3 linked regions of the Tribolium castaneum genome follow. The protein of the gene in region 2 interacts with the protein of the main gene of each other region in a biochemical or structural test. Links are inferred from orthologs where the notes say so. Each region holds a gene or a part of one and is shown on either strand. Other genes may lie near its edges. The genes, in order: Roc1a, NEDD8-conjugating enzyme UBE2F and Roc2.

Region 1 (6,360 bases), on a different chromosome or scaffold from region 2:
AATAATTAACTTTTCCTCTGAAACACTTGTAAATGCACAAAAAAGCTCGAAAAAGATAAAAGCAACACACCTAATTATCTAACTTCATCTTCATATTTTTAATCCGTTTAACAAAATTTTACAAAAAAAATATTTTTTTACTGAAATATTAAATTCAGCATTTTATAGATCTTTTTTAATCAATTTTCCAAAAAAAGGCCGCACTAATCTAAATTTAATGTTATTTATTTTGGAATAAATTTTAGAATAAACGATACCTTAAATTTAAATTAATTAATTTAATTATTTTGTTGTAATTAAAACATTAAAGGCTTTAGGGGTTTATAAAAAGCTTCATTAAATTTTGAGACGTTAAAAGTTAACAATGCGAATGAACTAACCAAGTTGTTTCAATTAGGTTACTTGATCAATTAATCACGCATTTAACTGCGGATTAAGTTAAACCGGCCCTAAGATTAATCATTTGTATGCGGTAACAGAAGAAAGGCGAAGTGTTACACAGCAAACATATTATTAACCATGTCTTGTAATTTTCGCATTATTTCTAACAAAATTTTGAAATAATAGAGTTACTGACTGAAAAGCCAGCAAAAAAAATAAAAAAAATTTTTTCGATGTGTTTTTAGAAAAATCAATCTCAAACCAAAAACTGAAAACTTAGTTTATAATTTATAAACCATATCTCCAACCACGTTTTTCGTTTGCTTGGCTATACTGTTCAGAAAAAGGTTGGTTTTTCACCTTATTTTTAAAATAATTGTATTGAAAACTGAAAAACGTGTTTTTTTATAAGACCTATAGGTTATATTGATATCATAAGTTGTCTCCTAGTAGCAAAATTATGATCTAATAATAGACCAGCTGTGTTATTAAATAATAACCAATATAAAATAATAATTAATAGTAAGCACAAAAATTTTATAATATTTTTTTGTTCTTAATATTGCTTTGTGACCTCATTTTTGTTTATTTTTATTTACATTTTATTCTTGTTACTTAATTTTACATGAGAATTAATTTTGTTACATTTCGAAATATTTTGTGTTTATTTTCTTTGATGATATACCTAATAATCGTATAAAGTATAAAAGCATAAAAGATAATTACAAACATACAGAGCATTTGTGAAATACTACAATGGAATATAACGCTACAGTAAAAAAATTACTCAAATATGAGAAAATTATATCAGGAAATTATTTAATCATAGACTATAAATATCAAATCACCTAATTTTCAGCCATTCCAGTTTAACGGACGGAACACTGCAAAAAAATTTTGATTTTATTTTCAGTTTTTATGAACAGTATCAGTTGAAATGATTTTTTTTTCTAGGACAACAGTACCAGTCAAGGTGTTTCCAACCTATAATTGGAGCCACATTGTAAAATTGGAAATGCGAACAGAAAAAAAAATACAAATTGATATCTATCATAGATTTTTAAATTTTTGCAGAACCGTTTCTTAAAAATTTCAATTATTAATTATTCAATTATCAATAACCTTAATTATCAAAGACTTTAACAATATCAAAATTAAGACACTGTTAACATCGCATTTAACCGAATATTTTTTTTAAATAAGATTGATAAAAATAGTTATTAATGACAAGATCTTCCAATAAAACTAGAAAATATATAAGCTATTAATTCTTTGAAAAGCATAAATAATTTATAACAATTACTTCTAGAGAAAATCCGACGTTGGCATTTTTATAATTTCGAAACAGCTAATAATTACGCTAACATTTGATACTGTTCAAAATTTTTAAGACATGACTGTGAAGCACCCCAATGCCCATAGCTGACTTATTAACTATTAACTCAATTAATTAATAAAATATTTGATTTCGGCTGTATTTTTTGGAAACGAAATTTAGTACATTTTGAAACCAAAACATACATGTTCCATTGAAGCCCAGACTAGTGGCTCCCCTAACGCCCGTTTTTTGACACTGGCTGACTTATTAACTAATCATTTAAAATTAATATAAATTAAATAAATATTTGATTTCTTACCTTGCAACATTTGAAGTTCAGCTGAAAACTCATCAAGCTCCATCGCAATGTCTTTATTAGCCCCTCTCAGATCCTTTCGAATCGTAAAATCAAACGAAGTCGTCGGCTCCCCTAACAAATTCTCCAAATCCTGAACAATGTCATCAACATTTTCTGTAATTTTCTCCGTAGAAGTATCCGTAATATTCATATCGAGCAGGTCCTTATCGGACGCAATCGGCGATGGGTTACCACCCCCTGACATCTCCCTCACTAAATTAATAACTGGGTTCGCACTACTCGGGTGTTTCCCCGAATCCAAAGCATCCGAGGATGTGCTACTGATTGGATCGTCAGCAGCTGAACACAATTGAAGTAAGCGCAAGGAAAACTGGAAAAAACACTTACCAATGTGTGACGTTGAAGTGGTTGTAAATGCATCGGTGGAAGACGTTGGGGTTGAATCACAAGACTCACTTTTTTCGTCGGTATTCGATGACAGCAGGTTGCCCATTGTTGAGGTTAACTCGCTTTCGGTGGATTTTTCACTTTCCATTGTCACTTGCACGGGAAAATGGTGCTATTTGGTTGAAAACACACCGTTTATCACAGACAATTAATTACGGGTATAATTAAATGCGGCATTTTTGTTTACGGTTTTAAACGACAAACGCCATCACAAGTGGAAGCTTCGCCAGGAGTGCCAACGGCAACCGTCAGACGAAAATGGCCATTAATAAAATAATTATCAATTAATACAACACTTGTTTACAATTTTAATGCGTTAGCCATCCATTAGTTAAGTTAATAACATTGATTTTCGCAAAATTGGTCATTCTGTGGTGGTTGAAGGGCACCCAACACACGCGTAAAATTCCCCAGTCGAAATTTCACCCCAAACAGTTTGGCAATTAACGTTTGTAAAAACTCACAATTTTGTGTTATTTGGGCAAAAATGGCAGCGGCAATGGACGTGGATGTTGACGAGGTCGAAGTTCCCACTTCGAGCAGTTCCAAGGGTGAAAAGAAGCGTTTCGAAGTGAAAAAGGTAAGTTTGTGAGACATAACCTAACACTTGATGATTTTTCATTTTTATGAAGTGGAACGCCGTAGCGTTGTGGGCTTGGGGTACGCTGTGTCATTTTATTAGACACGTTGGTTTTAATTAAAATTTTAGATATCGTGGTCGATAATTGTGCCATTTGTCGCAATCATATTATGGATTTATGTATTGAGTGTCAGGCAAATCAGGCCTCAGCGACCAGTGAAGAGTGTACAGTTGCTTGGGGAGTGTGTAATGTGAGTAATTTGCTGTTTTTTGAGTTTTGGTTTTAGTGAATCTGGTTTTAGCACGCGTTTCATTTTCACTGTATTTCGAGGTGGTTGAAGACAAGGCAGGTGTGCCCACTAGATAATCGAGAATGGGAATTTCAAAAGTAAGTTTTTTTATTTTAAATGTTTTTCTAACGGGTTAATAGTCCCTTTGTTTTTACAACTTTTACAATACAGAGGGTTTAAATTTTTTATTGTTATACCATCTAGTGGTCAATTAACGATCTACTTTGTTGTGTGACATGGCGGGAAATTTGAATGTCACATTTCACAGTTTTTGTTATAGTAATTTCATAATAATACTTAAACACAGGCTGTCCCAACGATCCCAAAAAGCTCCATAATTTGTTTATTATTAAAGATATTGAGTTTTCCTTTTTTTTAGATACGGGTATGCATATAGAGGATGTTCCAATATAAAAAAACACTAAAGCTATGTTTTTTCAAATGAAACACCCTAAATTTTATTGCATTTTTGCTTAGTTTTTAAAATATTTTGATTTTTTTGACAAAAACACAAAAAATTATTACACAAAAAGGCAGAATCGTAGAATCCCACACGGGGAAAAGTTCAAACTTATAAATCTGTTCCAATTGTTTAGCGTATTACAATTAGAAACAGAAAAATTAAAGTTTATTAAAACTTGAAAAACTTAAATGGAACACTCTATTTTTTGTTATTGCTTCTCAAAAATTACTAAATTACTAAAAACATAAAGTTTCAACTTCCTAAAGTTACTAACTAAAAAGATATTTCACTTTAAACGTTAATTTCAACAACATATCACAACCATAGCAACTCCACCACAGACCACTTGTTGGAGATTATACGGGACTAAAAATTCTATAAGTATTGAAATTTTAATTATTTCACTGTTATAAATGACAAATAATGGCCTAAAAGTAACATTAAAGTTATTATTAGCAGAAAATTTCACTTTTTGACTACTGAAACAATAGGTAATAATTTTTTTATTGTTTAATGTTAAAAATCTTTTGAGTAATCACTAATTAGCGAAAGACCCAACTGTTAATCTTGTCAGAGAGACTATTTAAAGGTCTTTTAGATGCAAAAATAAAAATTGGGTGTTCCATTTAAAATTTTTAAGTTATTCAACTTGCAACAAACCTCTTCATTTTTTATCTTCTTGATTGCAGTAAGCTAATAAAAATAATACATCCTTGGAGTTTGAACTTTCTTTCTTTAAAGTGGTGAAAGTTCCTCTTTTCTGAGATTCTAAGTTTTTATGTAACGATTTTTTTAAAAAAGCGTGTTTTGGCAAAAAAATCCAGTTATTGTAAAAACAAAGCAAAATCGACCTATAACAATTTGAAAAGCTTGAAAACATCTGTGTTAAAAGCTACATCCAAAAATGCAAAAAATATAGGTTGTTCCATTTAAAAAAACAAGTTTGTATTGTATCTAATTTTAGAAACAGCCTGTATACTTGAAAATAATTTTAAGTGGTAGGTACTTTAACTTAAAAAACAGTATAATCGTCAACGTTAGTATTTGTCCTAAGAACGTATTTAAACAACTTAAATAACTTAAATAAAAATCAAAGTAATTTTACTAAAAACTGAATTAATATGTATTTGTTTTCTAACAATTGTTCAATTGTTGTAATATTAATTAATTATTTCGTTTGAATAAATAAACTGTTTCAAAACTATAAAAACGCCAACGTCGCCTGTTACTGAATTATTTTTTTAAACAAAATACATAGAATTTTTAAAATAGTTACTAATGATTAGATCTCTCATTGAAAGTATAAATTACATTAGGTACTATTTTTTAAAGTGCATGAATAATTTATAACAACTAATTTTGAGAAAAAATGCGATTTTGGCGTTTTTATACTTTCAAAATAGCTAATACATATACTGCATTTGCCAAATAACAACGAATAATGAGAAACGCTTTTGTAAAAGTTTTTTAGTTACCGGTATATTGACTTGTTCTCTACAGAAATACATCATCCGATAAATTTCAGAAAAACTCAAACAGTAGTTTACGAAAAAAATCGAAGAAAACAATTTTTAAGAAACTGTAGAAAGTGAAAATAAACTGAAACATGTGATGGTGGTGTAAATTACTTTGATTTTTTTTATTTTATTTTTTATTCTAAGAAAGTACTGATGATGTATTTTTTGCAGGTATGGGCATTGATCGTTATGTTATCAGTAGCATAATACGGTTTTCGGTATTTGATTCTCACCATTTTTTTTCGTAAACTCAACATGTTATAACGGAAATTTAGTTTTTGTATAATCCAGGTCTTGAAATTTTTTGTTACATTTTGTATTTCAATAAATTATTATTCAATTCATACTGTCTTTTTTCAATACCTACTATCCCAAAATAATTACTAGTTGTAAAAATAAATTTTTTTGGTTTTTACTGAGTACGCATAAAACCTAATCTTCCGAATTCCAGTATCTTTGTTCATGGATTGTCATGCACATAACGTAAATATTTCTAATTTTATTAATAATTTATTAAAGAGCTGAAATTATTTGCAACTGCGTGTTTACTGTTCCCATTTTGGCCTTAAAAGTTTTAAGAAATGTTTCCTTCTCTTTTTTTTCTTCCTTGAGATGCATTAAATTTAAAGTTTCGGGAGTTGATACTTTTTGAGTCTTTTTATTTCGTTTTATGTTAAGAATATCATTTGGTCATTAATATCAATTTTTGCGTGTACTTATTTGTTGGTTTTTTCTTAATTTTTATTTTGTAGGGTTGAACTGAATAACTTTCAGCCACACTTCGCCCCACTGAATTATTTATTGTTTCTTTTTTCAAAGCCTTCTTAATATTATTATTATCGATACCTAATGATAATGAATAATGATTTTTCATTTTTTCAAATACTAGTCATTCCAATTTAATAAAAATGCTAACAACTTCGTTTGTTTAAATAATGTTGATAAAAATGTAAAATATTTTTTGATTATTAGATGTGTCATTGAAATCATAAATTACATTAGCTATTAAGGTTTAGAAGTGCATGAATAATTTAACTTTGAGAGA
Region 2 (5,152 bases):
TTTTAATTGCTTATTGCGAAGGGTTAACTCTGAATTATTTATTTTAAAGGTGTTGTCTTATAATTTTTCACGCTGATTACGCTGGGGTCTCTTTGCATCGATAATCCTGATATGATATCAAAAATTTAGAAAATTGTTCCAATCTTTAAGTGGATTTTTTTCAAATATAGAAAATAATCTTTTCTTAATTTTTTGTCGGACAGCAAAACAAGGATTTCTAAAATTATTAATTTTATTAATAAAAATTAAGAAAAAGTCGTTTTTTTGAATAAAAATTGCCGCCAGAATTCATTATTTTGCCGAGCGGCCGACAGAGTAGCGCTGCGAAAGTAGCGGAAGTCTACATTACCACAATTCATATTTTACAATTTATATGAATTAAAAAGGCCTTGTTGGGCGTTTTTTTAATTTTCTTCTTCCTTATCTTCTATATAAATTTTGAGGCAATTTGACGCTTTCATTTCCATTTCGGCAGACTTAGAGCAGTTACTCTGATCCTTTTCAACATTATTATTGTTACTGTTTATCTTTATGTGTGGCGTCCAAATTTCTAAAAATTTGATAAAAAATCTAGTAATATGTAAAAGCGTTTGTGGTAACGCAGCGCTACTCTGGTGGCCGCTCGGCAAAACAAAGATCAAGGACTACGAATTAAAAATATTTGGTTTTTCCCTAGGTATTACTTAATTAATGATAATTTTATTAGAATATTTAATGGATAATGTGGATAATTGTGACTTTTCGATAAATTACTAAACCGAAATTATCTTCGTTTCACGAATCCGTCATTCGACCAATAAAAATACAGCAAGTACCTCCTTCTTGCTTATCTACCGCACAAAAAATTGCAAGGTGTTTGTCATTGGATAGCGCTGGGCTGATGCACTCCCGACAGTAAGACAGACCAATCAGAAGGCGATTAAAGTGCTTCCAAAAACTGATGTTTTATTGTTCAAATATCGGCTGATATTTGCCTAATTAAATAAATTTTGCTGTTTTAACACTTTGTCTAATTGTTGTTGACGTCCCTTTTCCAATAAAATTATTTTTGCCTTCTTCGAAGCCAATTTCAGCGGCAGATGTGGGCGAAGATTAATTCGGTCATTAATTTTTATTTAACTTAATATTCTGCAACATTTGCCTGATATCAGGTCCTAGGACCTCCTAGCAGGGCCGAAATGCTGTAATTTTGACTTTCTTATCTTGAAAACTATTTAAGCTTTTTTATTATTCCTAATGAATAGCACTTAGAAGAAAATGATGCTTGTATGTTGTTGTTTGTTAGAAAATTACGTAAAAAATTGACGCTAGTTCCAAAAAAAATTATTCAAAGAAAGCAGCAAAAAAATATGTATACCTTATTTAATAAAAAACAGGAATCATTTTTGATAAATACTGAAATTACAAAAGGCTTTTTCGTGTTTTGGGTTGATCCTGGGTCTTCGTGGAAAGAGTAGTGGTCACGCAGCGCTATTCTGGTGGACGCTCGGCAAAACAAAACCGCCTTTCTAATATAAAGTTACATTTTTGGAAAAACATCTAACGTCCAAATCAACAAAGAGAAAAAATTTAAAATAACATACTGTCAATTGGGCTATCAGTATTACGTGTCACAAATCAAATTTTGTGAACATTTCTTTGCAAATTATCTACAATTTAAATGTATATACAAAACAATAAAAAAACCTTTATTGTAATGTGACATTTGCCTGTAATTTTAGATTCTTCAAAAAAATTTTGTGATTTTCGTATGGCAAGCTTTTAAAAATAAGTCATGTTACAATATTATGATAAAATTTTAAGCGTCATTATTCGCATTTTTGTATTTTTACGTTAATAATTTGATAACTTAATTAGGGCCATTTATCCAAATATTTCACTTGGGTGGCGCACCTGTTACGTATTGCTGATTATAACCGATTTACCTGTTAGGAATCTTCATGAAAATATTTTATCAGTCTACATACTATCAGAATGAATAAAAGGGGTATCAGCGTTGCGGCAGTTACATGCTTATAAGTCGTATACTCGCGAAGAAAATGGGTTGTGTCTCATCAAAACAGTCTAAAAAAGATGCCAAGAAGGTTCGAGGTAGGGAAGACAATCGTGGGCGTCTTTCGGTGATTTGGGAGTACGTAAAAAATTCAAATAAGTACTTATATTTTTTAACATAAATTTTCTATTCAGGGAGTTAAGCTCTGCTGAGGTCCTCAACCTTGCCAAAACAGACCCGGAGGTCTACCAAATTTGTTTAAGAGATAATATCATAAGACCACCCTGCCGTAGAAGAAGCCTGTGGAAGATGTTTGGTAACGAAGCCGCTCAAGTACGCCCCAAAAAGTAAACACAAATGTATCTTTTATTTACGCAATAAACTATTTTTACTCATTTAATAAATCATTCATGTGGGTCTCTCCTTCCTTAGTAAAAAAATCCAAAACATTGGAAATAAAAATTTGATTTACAAGGTCAAGTCTTGTAGTATTTGGGTGGAAACTTTTTAAATAACCATGGTACATATACGTGTTATAAAACACAATTAGACCACCCCAAATTTGAGTTTTTTCTATTAACCAAAATTATGTTAAAGTAACAGTTGATAGTATTTTCGCCTTATTTCGTTTAAACAATTTGAAAAAAAATTCGGTTCGAAGATCTTTCGGTCCGGGTCACTCTCGTTGACAGCGGCGCTGTCAGTTACCTAACCAAAAATTTATATCAAAATTAAACATAAACAATGCGATGATTTTCATTGTGTTTCAATAATAATTTGTAGAATCATGATTACGCTATCCCAACGCTTGAAAAAACAGCAAGAAGACCGTTCTTCTAACACGAACCGAATTTCAATCAGGGACAAACTACTAATTAAAGAATCACAAGAAATGGCCCAACTTTTGCCCAGTAATTGTTCAGTTTTCTACGAGAATGAGAACGATTTGAGCAAGTTCATTTTAACCGTGAGACCCACGGAGGGCCTTTGGGAGGGTGGTACTTTTAGATTTGCTATTAACGTTACCGAAGAGTATAACATGGTTGTAAGTATTGCCACCGAGTTGCGATCGGCGGTTGAGTCTCGTTTGCAGCCTCCCACTGTCAGATGCCTCACGCGTTTGTGGCACCCTAACATAACCGAAGTCGGCGAAGTGTGCCTATCGCTCCTGAGGCAGCACAGCATGGACGGGCTGGGCTGGTCGCCCATTAGGAGATTAAACGACGTCGTCTGGGGCCTACACGCCTTATTTACGGTATTTATCGGATCGTTTGGACACGGTTGACGTTTTGTTTCAGGATTTGTTAAATTTTGACGATCCTTTAAATATAGAAGCTTCGGATATGTATAGAAACTCTAAGGAGGAATTTAGAATGAAAGTGAATGAGTACGTTATGCTGTATGCTAAAGATTAATCGTTGTAGAGTCGTCGATATTACTGTTTGTCCGCTTTCACGAGTGTGAATACTCCATTTCCTTTTTTTGTAAAAAGTTATCGTAAAGTTTGTCCACAAGTGAGCAACTCTTCACTTTGGGTAAAGTTTACCACAATATATTTATATGAATTACCGCTGTTTCAATCCAAACACACACTTCTCATAAATATTTATTTGAAAGGATAAAAAAGAAAAGTGATAACTAGGTGGCAAATACATCCAACATAATATTCACGCAAAAGGAAGCTCGGCGTTTAGCAAGTGCACATTATGTTCAAGTATTTCCCGTTACAAACAAGTACAATACATCAAATACGCTGAAGCAACTTATGACTTGAGATTATGTAGCAGTTCGTTGAGCATAACGGACCCAAAGACCATGTTCTCGCAATTGACAGTGACCACCTCCTGCTTGGTTATTGTGACCAGAACGAAGTTCGACGATTTCAGCGTTTGGCCCGCGAACCTGTAAACGAGACTAATCACTCGCCACACAAAAGCGGGCGTTACCTCAGGCTGTCGCTCGCTGGGTCGCACACGCCCAAGTTGCTGCATTCGGTGACTCTTTCGACGATGTTAGAGACGCACTTCACTTTGCCGATATGTTCGTTCATGCCGCCCAACTTCGACTGCTTTTCCTGGAATGTGGGGGTGTCCATCCGGACGGGGCGCACCAGCTCGCCTATGGTCGGCTTTATGCAGACGCTGAAGTTGCCCAACGAGCACACGATCTCGAAGTTCGCCGGCTGGGTCGTGTCGTTGAAGTCGATCCCGAGCGACGCGGGCAGGCAGCCGTTTGGCGGCAATCTGGCGATGTTTGCGAACTCATACATCGACATGTCCAGTCCTAAATTCTACAAAATTCGGACACTGGAACCGTTTCAAAGAAACAAAATAAGACCAGCCAACCTTTTTTCCCAGCCTAATATCACTGATGTCTTCGGTGGTGTTGTTGGTGAACATTATATTGATGTTTGCCATACTTGGCGATAAAATATGAGGCGTCCGGGTGAACCTGTAAGTGGCCGACAGCCCCCGCCCGTTGATTTTGTTAATAAGTTCGATGGTTTTAGTGTTGGTGAAAACGGGGGGCGTCATTTCGACCTGCGAAGGTGTCGTGCTTACGACACTCGGTGTTAGGAACCCGCCCAGTGATGGGGTCATCACGGGTGCAGTGCTATCAACGTCGCCTAAATCTAGCAATAAGTCTAAGTTTGATTTTGGTTTTGGTGCTTCGGGTTTCTTCGCTTCTTCTTCACTCTCCTCACTGCTGGACTCTTCGCTCGAAGTGCAACTCGCCGACTTCCTGAAATTGTTTTACTATCAATTTGCCCGAAAACCACAGTTCCGTACTCATCACTTGACGATTCTTCCTCATATTGACTTTCGCTGTCTTCACTCGAACTGTCGCTACTAGAGCTAGACGAGTCGGAGCTGTCCGAGCTGTTGTTGCTACTAGCCCCCCGGGAACTCCCCGACTCCCACAAGAACATGTCTTTACCCTTTTTGTCCTGAAACAGTGATTTATTTCGGAAATTTCGGTAACGGCTGATAAGTACCGATTTTTTGTACGATTTGGAGTCTTCAATTACGATTGGTTCGACGTTTCGGACGTCACCCGGGGGCGGATTCTCCGGGAACGGGGGCAGGGGCTCATAGCCGGTCGCTCGTTGCTTGATATAGTGCGACAGGGAGCCCAATTGCAAGTCTTCGTGGTCTTTGA
Region 3 (4,658 bases), on a different chromosome or scaffold from region 2:
TCTTCTGCAAGATTGTCTGCATGCACACTAATACCAATGCACGCTTTATAGAAACTCGAGGAGGAGATGCACACAGAGTTGGTAACGTCGGATTTCGTCAAATACTTACCAAAGTTGCATGTAACCGGACTAAGCACATCGTCATCAACCGATCAGGATATTCAATTCCCACTAACTACACCTAACACTCCCACATTTAGGGACTCGCCACCCACTTGGGGGCGGGTGCGGTCTTGGACCCACGGTGGCGGTAGTAGTAGCAGAGCCAGTGTTTTCCTTCCTTCGAATCCCGATGATGATTCTGCTGTTTAGATTGTGTTTTCGTTTGCTTGCTTGTACTAACTAACACCCGTTGTCTCCTCGTTTTTGTGTCGTAAATTGTGTAATTGTTTAGAAATTGGAAGAGGCGTTTGCCCAGCAGTTGGAAGAACAGGAAAGGGTTTATGGGCCGATCAGTACTCCTCTGGCTTTGCCTCCAGATTTGCCCGATCTGAGCCAGGAGAGTTGCAAGATCGGGATGGGGTCGACTAGGAGCAGTTTATCGTCGGTTTCGGAGGGATAGAACGCTTTAGGAAACAGTATACTCCAAAATGTGCCTCTGCAGATCCAGAGCGAGCATTGATTACCCTAACTCGTGTATATACTTATTACACAGACTGAATAATTAAGAAAATCGTATGAAACATTTTTTTCGTTTTGTTTCTTTTACTAGAGAGATTGAGGTGACCTGATAAGCTACTTAAATTTGGAAATTTCGAAAGGGAGAATTTTTTTCAGGTTGTTTACTGAAAACAAATAAACTATTGTTAGCTTGCTTGCTAAAACTAGACTAGTTTTACGTCGATCCTTTTTATTAAATTAAGATTAGAGGTGATTGAGGATTTAAAATTGTGTGCATTTATTAAAACCAGACTGACAGGTTACACTTGTTATTTTGTGAAATAATTAAGTTAGATTGTACTAATAGTTCAAAAGATTGTTATATCATGTTCGTAAGTAAGTTTTCTTTGTATTGAGGTATTATCTAACAATAAATACTGATTAATTATTATTTAACATAATAGATTGTATTGGGATTGTTTTTTGTTTACGCTTGCACTACTCCAGTCTGATGTATAAATACTATTATAGTCCATGTTATTTAAATACTGAAATTTTTATCAGCTGTATTCTAAGGTGTACATACAAATTCCATCTAACTTAAGTTTATTAGGACAGTGTGATAAGATTTTTATCGTCTTTTAGTTCTTTACTAACGTTTGCCACTATCATGCTGTTCTGTATTATTATGATGTACAGTCAGTGTATTTTATTTTTATGTGCATATTATTTACCAGTAACTATTATATTCAAATAAATAATATAAATAGAATTCGATTTAATCCTTCCACCTCAACTTTTCTGGGACATACTGTATATTAAAAAAAAGTAAGGTTAGGGTACGGTTTACCAACAAAAACGAAAATGGTTTTATTCGAACAAATAAGGCTGAAAAACTGCCGATTGTGTCACACAAAGCCCGGCCAACACGACATAAAAACAGACAAAAAATTAGTAAAAGAAATTTACGAATGCACAAAAGTGAAGGTGAAAAAAACTTGCCCAATTTGTAATTTATTAAAGAACTTTTTTGTAGGTAAATGATAAATCTATGGAGCTTTTGCCGCGTTCTGTGTGTGAGGAGTGCAAAAAAACCATAAAATGTTTTTCGCTTTACAAGCAACACATTCGCAAAGTGGATCAGTGTTTCAGAAGGATTTTAAAAAATTGCGAAGCCAAAAGTAAGGACACTAAAGAAGAAATCTTCAAGTGTGAACAATGTCCAGGGGAGTTCAGTGATCATGATTTATTTAAGAATCATTTAAATTCACACCAGATAAGTGTTAGTCAGGAGGAAATTAAAGCAGAAGTTTCGTGTCCGAAATGTGATAACAAGTTTTGTAACTTGGAGGAGTATGGGTCTCACAACTGTTTCACAGAAGAAGAAAATTCGCAACATGATAGTTTTGAAAATAAAATAGAAACAGAGGATTTGGAGGCGTTTAAAAAAGCCAAATTCGTTTGTAGTTGGAAGAATTGTAAAAAAATCCTCAGTTCCGCCTACACATTAAAAACGCATGAGCTCAAACATCAGGGGAAACGCTCGTTTTTGTGTGTAACTTGTGGTAACAATTATTTCTATTAACGCCCCACAAGTAAAAAATTATTACAGGCAAAGGCTTCATCACAAAAAATTCATTAACCTGCCACGAAAAAATACACCTGGAAGTGAAAGGTTACGTGTGTAAGCTCTGTAATCTTGGGTTTTCTGTGCGAAGTAATCTGAGGGCACATGAAAAAAAGCATCATGAAGGAGTCAGATTTTACTGCTCGCAGTGTTCCAGAGCATTTGCTTCAAAGTGCAGTTTGCAGAGGCACGAAAGAATTCACACAGGAATCAAGGAATTCAAGTGCCAGTCCTGCCCTTCGGCGTTCTATACCAAAAAAGAGCTCCTGAAGCACCAAAGGTACCATCAGGTGGGTATTTTTGTAATTTAGCGTGTTCTTGTTGGTGGCACTGTTACTAACGCGTCAAACGTCATCGCAAATATTGAGGTTACAATTAGGATAATAAATAACGCCCTTGGTTGATAACTGCCACCATGTCGAGTTCTATTGCCGACGAGAACGAGAACACCGAGCGCCTCGACGGCGAGGGAGCCAAGAGCGAGAAAATGTTCACTTTGAAAAAATGGAACGCTGTTGCAATGTGGAGCTGGGACGTGGAATGCGACACTTGTGCGATTTGTCGCGTGCAAGTGATGGACGCGTGTTTGCGGTGCCAAGCTGAGAGCAAAAAAGACTCGTACGGGAAGCAGGATTGCGTGGTGGTGTGGGGGGAGTGCAACCACTCGTTTCACTATTGTTGCATGTCTTTGTGGGTCAAGCAAAATAATCGCTGCCCGTTGTGTCAGCAAGAATGGTCCATCCAGAGGATGGGCAAATAATGATTTCGTGTACTTTTCAGGGTTTGCGCTTACATAAGTGTGACGAATGCTTTAAAACATTTTTCGAACGGCACCACCTGATCATCCATTTGAGGAGCCACACTGGGGAGAGGCCTTATGTATGCCAGTTTCCCAATTGTGGCAAGTCTTTCACGGAAAGTCAAAAACTAAAGAGGCATCATAATGCCAAACATGCCCAAACATAATTAATTGTATTTCCTTTTATTAATAAAATTGTAAAACAGAACTGGTTGTTTTATTTGTGGGAACTTTTGATTTCTGATGAGTTCGGTAGCAACTGTGTCAGGTTGGCCAACCGATGGTGTTTTTCCTTTGGCAGCTAAAAGTTACAGGTTATAGCTGTCATTGGTTTTGACTTTGTAGTAAGTATAATTATGTCTAGTCAAGAACAGAAAATAAATAATTTATTAGATCGATTAAGACAAGGAAACAATCCTCCACGCAATCTGCAAATGTCCGGTCAAAGTATCGCCAGAAATAATGGTGATGTTCCTCACAGTCGCCCGAGTCTCCCATGTAAGTTGTTTAATAAGTTAAGGGGGAAAATAAGAGCGATCTTTGGTTTTCCCAGTGGGCATGGTCCCCAGCCGGCCACGAGATTTATCTTTCACGCCAAGAAGCAGTGAAAATTTAGAGACTGATAGGAAGTTGAAAGAAATCATGAAAATTAGTGGTAACCTAACAATCAACAACAAACTATACGAAACTGATATAAAAGATATGGAAAGACTTGAAGAACTGGGCTTCGGGACCTGCGGTCACGTTATCAAAATGAGACACAAACTAAGTGGCGAAATCATAGCCGTCAAAGTAAACATCAAGGTCCAAAAATTAACACAATTTATTTCACGGGCTTCCATTTCAGCAAATGCGACGTTCGGGCAACAACGACGAAAACAAAAGGATTATTATGGACATTGAAGTGGTCCTAAAGTCACACGACTGTAAATATATAGTTCAATGTTTAGGCTGTTTTATAACCGATTCGGAAGTCTGGATATGCATGGAGCTCATGACTACGTGCTTTGATAAGTTACTAAAACGGTTAGGTAAACCGATACCTGAAGAAATCCTGGGTAAAGTTACAGTTGCTGTAAGTACACGTCTTCCTTTTCAAGCACCACGCTCACTGAACGTTACAGACTGTAGAGGCTTTATCGTATTTAAAAGATAAGCACGGTGTGATACATAGGGATGTAAAACCTTCAAATATTTTGATCGACACTAAAGGCCATATAAAATTGTGTGATTTTGGTATTAGTGGACGTTTGGTGGACTCAATGGCAAAAACTAGGAGCGCTGGGTGTGCTGCATATTTAGCTGTGAGTTTTTCCCCCACATTTATTTTTTTTCTAATTTTTTAATTTAGCCGGAACGCATTGAACCCGACCCTAAAAATCCCGACTATGACATACGTGCCGACGTTTGGTCATTAGGCATAACTCTAGTTGAATTAGCAACGGGGGTTTTCCCATATCCCAACTGTACAACCGATTTTGAAGTCCTAACCAAAGTGCTAGGACAAGATCCGCCAAGCTTACCTGAGACTTTTAGTCCGGAATTTAGGGAATTTGTTAAATTTTGGTAAGTATGGCACTGTGGGAGCCTAAAATAGGAGGCGACACACTGCTTTTATGCAAAGTAAGAATT

What was found.
Region 1: the proteins of NEDD8-conjugating enzyme UBE2F (region 2) and Roc1a form a complex in vitro, tested with the Homo sapiens proteins (2 studies listed by BioGRID). The link is inferred for Tribolium castaneum from reciprocal best matches to the Homo sapiens genes UBE2F and RBX1.
Region 3: the proteins of NEDD8-conjugating enzyme UBE2F (region 2) and Roc2 form a complex in vitro, tested with the Homo sapiens proteins (10 studies listed by BioGRID, with this or other methods). The link is inferred for Tribolium castaneum from reciprocal best matches to the Homo sapiens genes UBE2F and RNF7.

The regions. Positions count from the first base shown.
Region 1 is NC_087402.1:12,065,582-12,071,941, reverse strand, and holds Roc1a (RING-box protein 1A), read left to right. Parts: upstream 1-2,856; 5' UTR 2,857-2,952; coding exon 2,953-3,045; intron 3,046-3,097; coding exon 3,098-3,125; intron 3,126-3,174; coding exon 3,175-3,296; intron 3,297-3,347; coding exon 3,348-3,433; intron 3,434-5,486; coding exon 5,487-5,499; 3' UTR 5,500-5,659; downstream 5,660-6,360. Other genes in the region: e(y)3 (titin), read right to left, coding at 2,019-2,357, 2,406-2,553. UniProt on the Homo sapiens protein: E3 ubiquitin ligase component of multiple cullin-RING-based E3 ubiquitin-protein ligase (CRLs) complexes which mediate the ubiquitination and subsequent proteasomal degradation of target proteins, including proteins involved in cell cycle progression, signal transduction, transcription and transcription-coupled nucleotide excision repair.
Region 2 is NC_087403.1:3,755,584-3,760,735, forward strand, and holds NEDD8-conjugating enzyme UBE2F, read left to right. Parts: upstream 1-2,669; 5' UTR 2,670-2,780; coding exon 2,781-3,038; intron 3,039-3,086; coding exon 3,087-3,248; intron 3,249-3,291; coding exon 3,292-3,408; 3' UTR 3,409-3,561; downstream 3,562-5,152. Other genes in the region: rb (AP-3 complex subunit beta-2), read right to left, coding at 3,757-3,895, 3,940-4,283, 4,339-4,735, 4,783-4,940, 4,989-5,152. UniProt on the Homo sapiens protein: Accepts the ubiquitin-like protein NEDD8 from the UBA3-NAE1 E1 complex and catalyzes its covalent attachment to other proteins. Together with the E3 ubiquitin ligase RNF7/RBX2, specifically neddylates cullin-5 (CUL5).
Region 3 is NC_087397.1:2,862,600-2,867,257, forward strand, and holds Roc2 (RING-box protein 2), read left to right. Parts: upstream 1-2,530; 5' UTR 2,531-2,642; coding exon 2,643-2,987; 3' UTR 2,988-3,234; downstream 3,235-4,658. Other genes in the region: Slik (STE20-like serine/threonine-protein kinase), read left to right, coding at 395-562; dual specificity mitogen-activated protein kinase kinase 7, read left to right, coding at 3,461-3,524, 3,580-3,818, 3,874-4,101, 4,151-4,330, 4,378-4,592. UniProt on the Homo sapiens protein: Catalytic component of multiple cullin-5-RING E3 ubiquitin-protein ligase complexes (ECS complexes), which mediate the ubiquitination and subsequent proteasomal degradation of target proteins.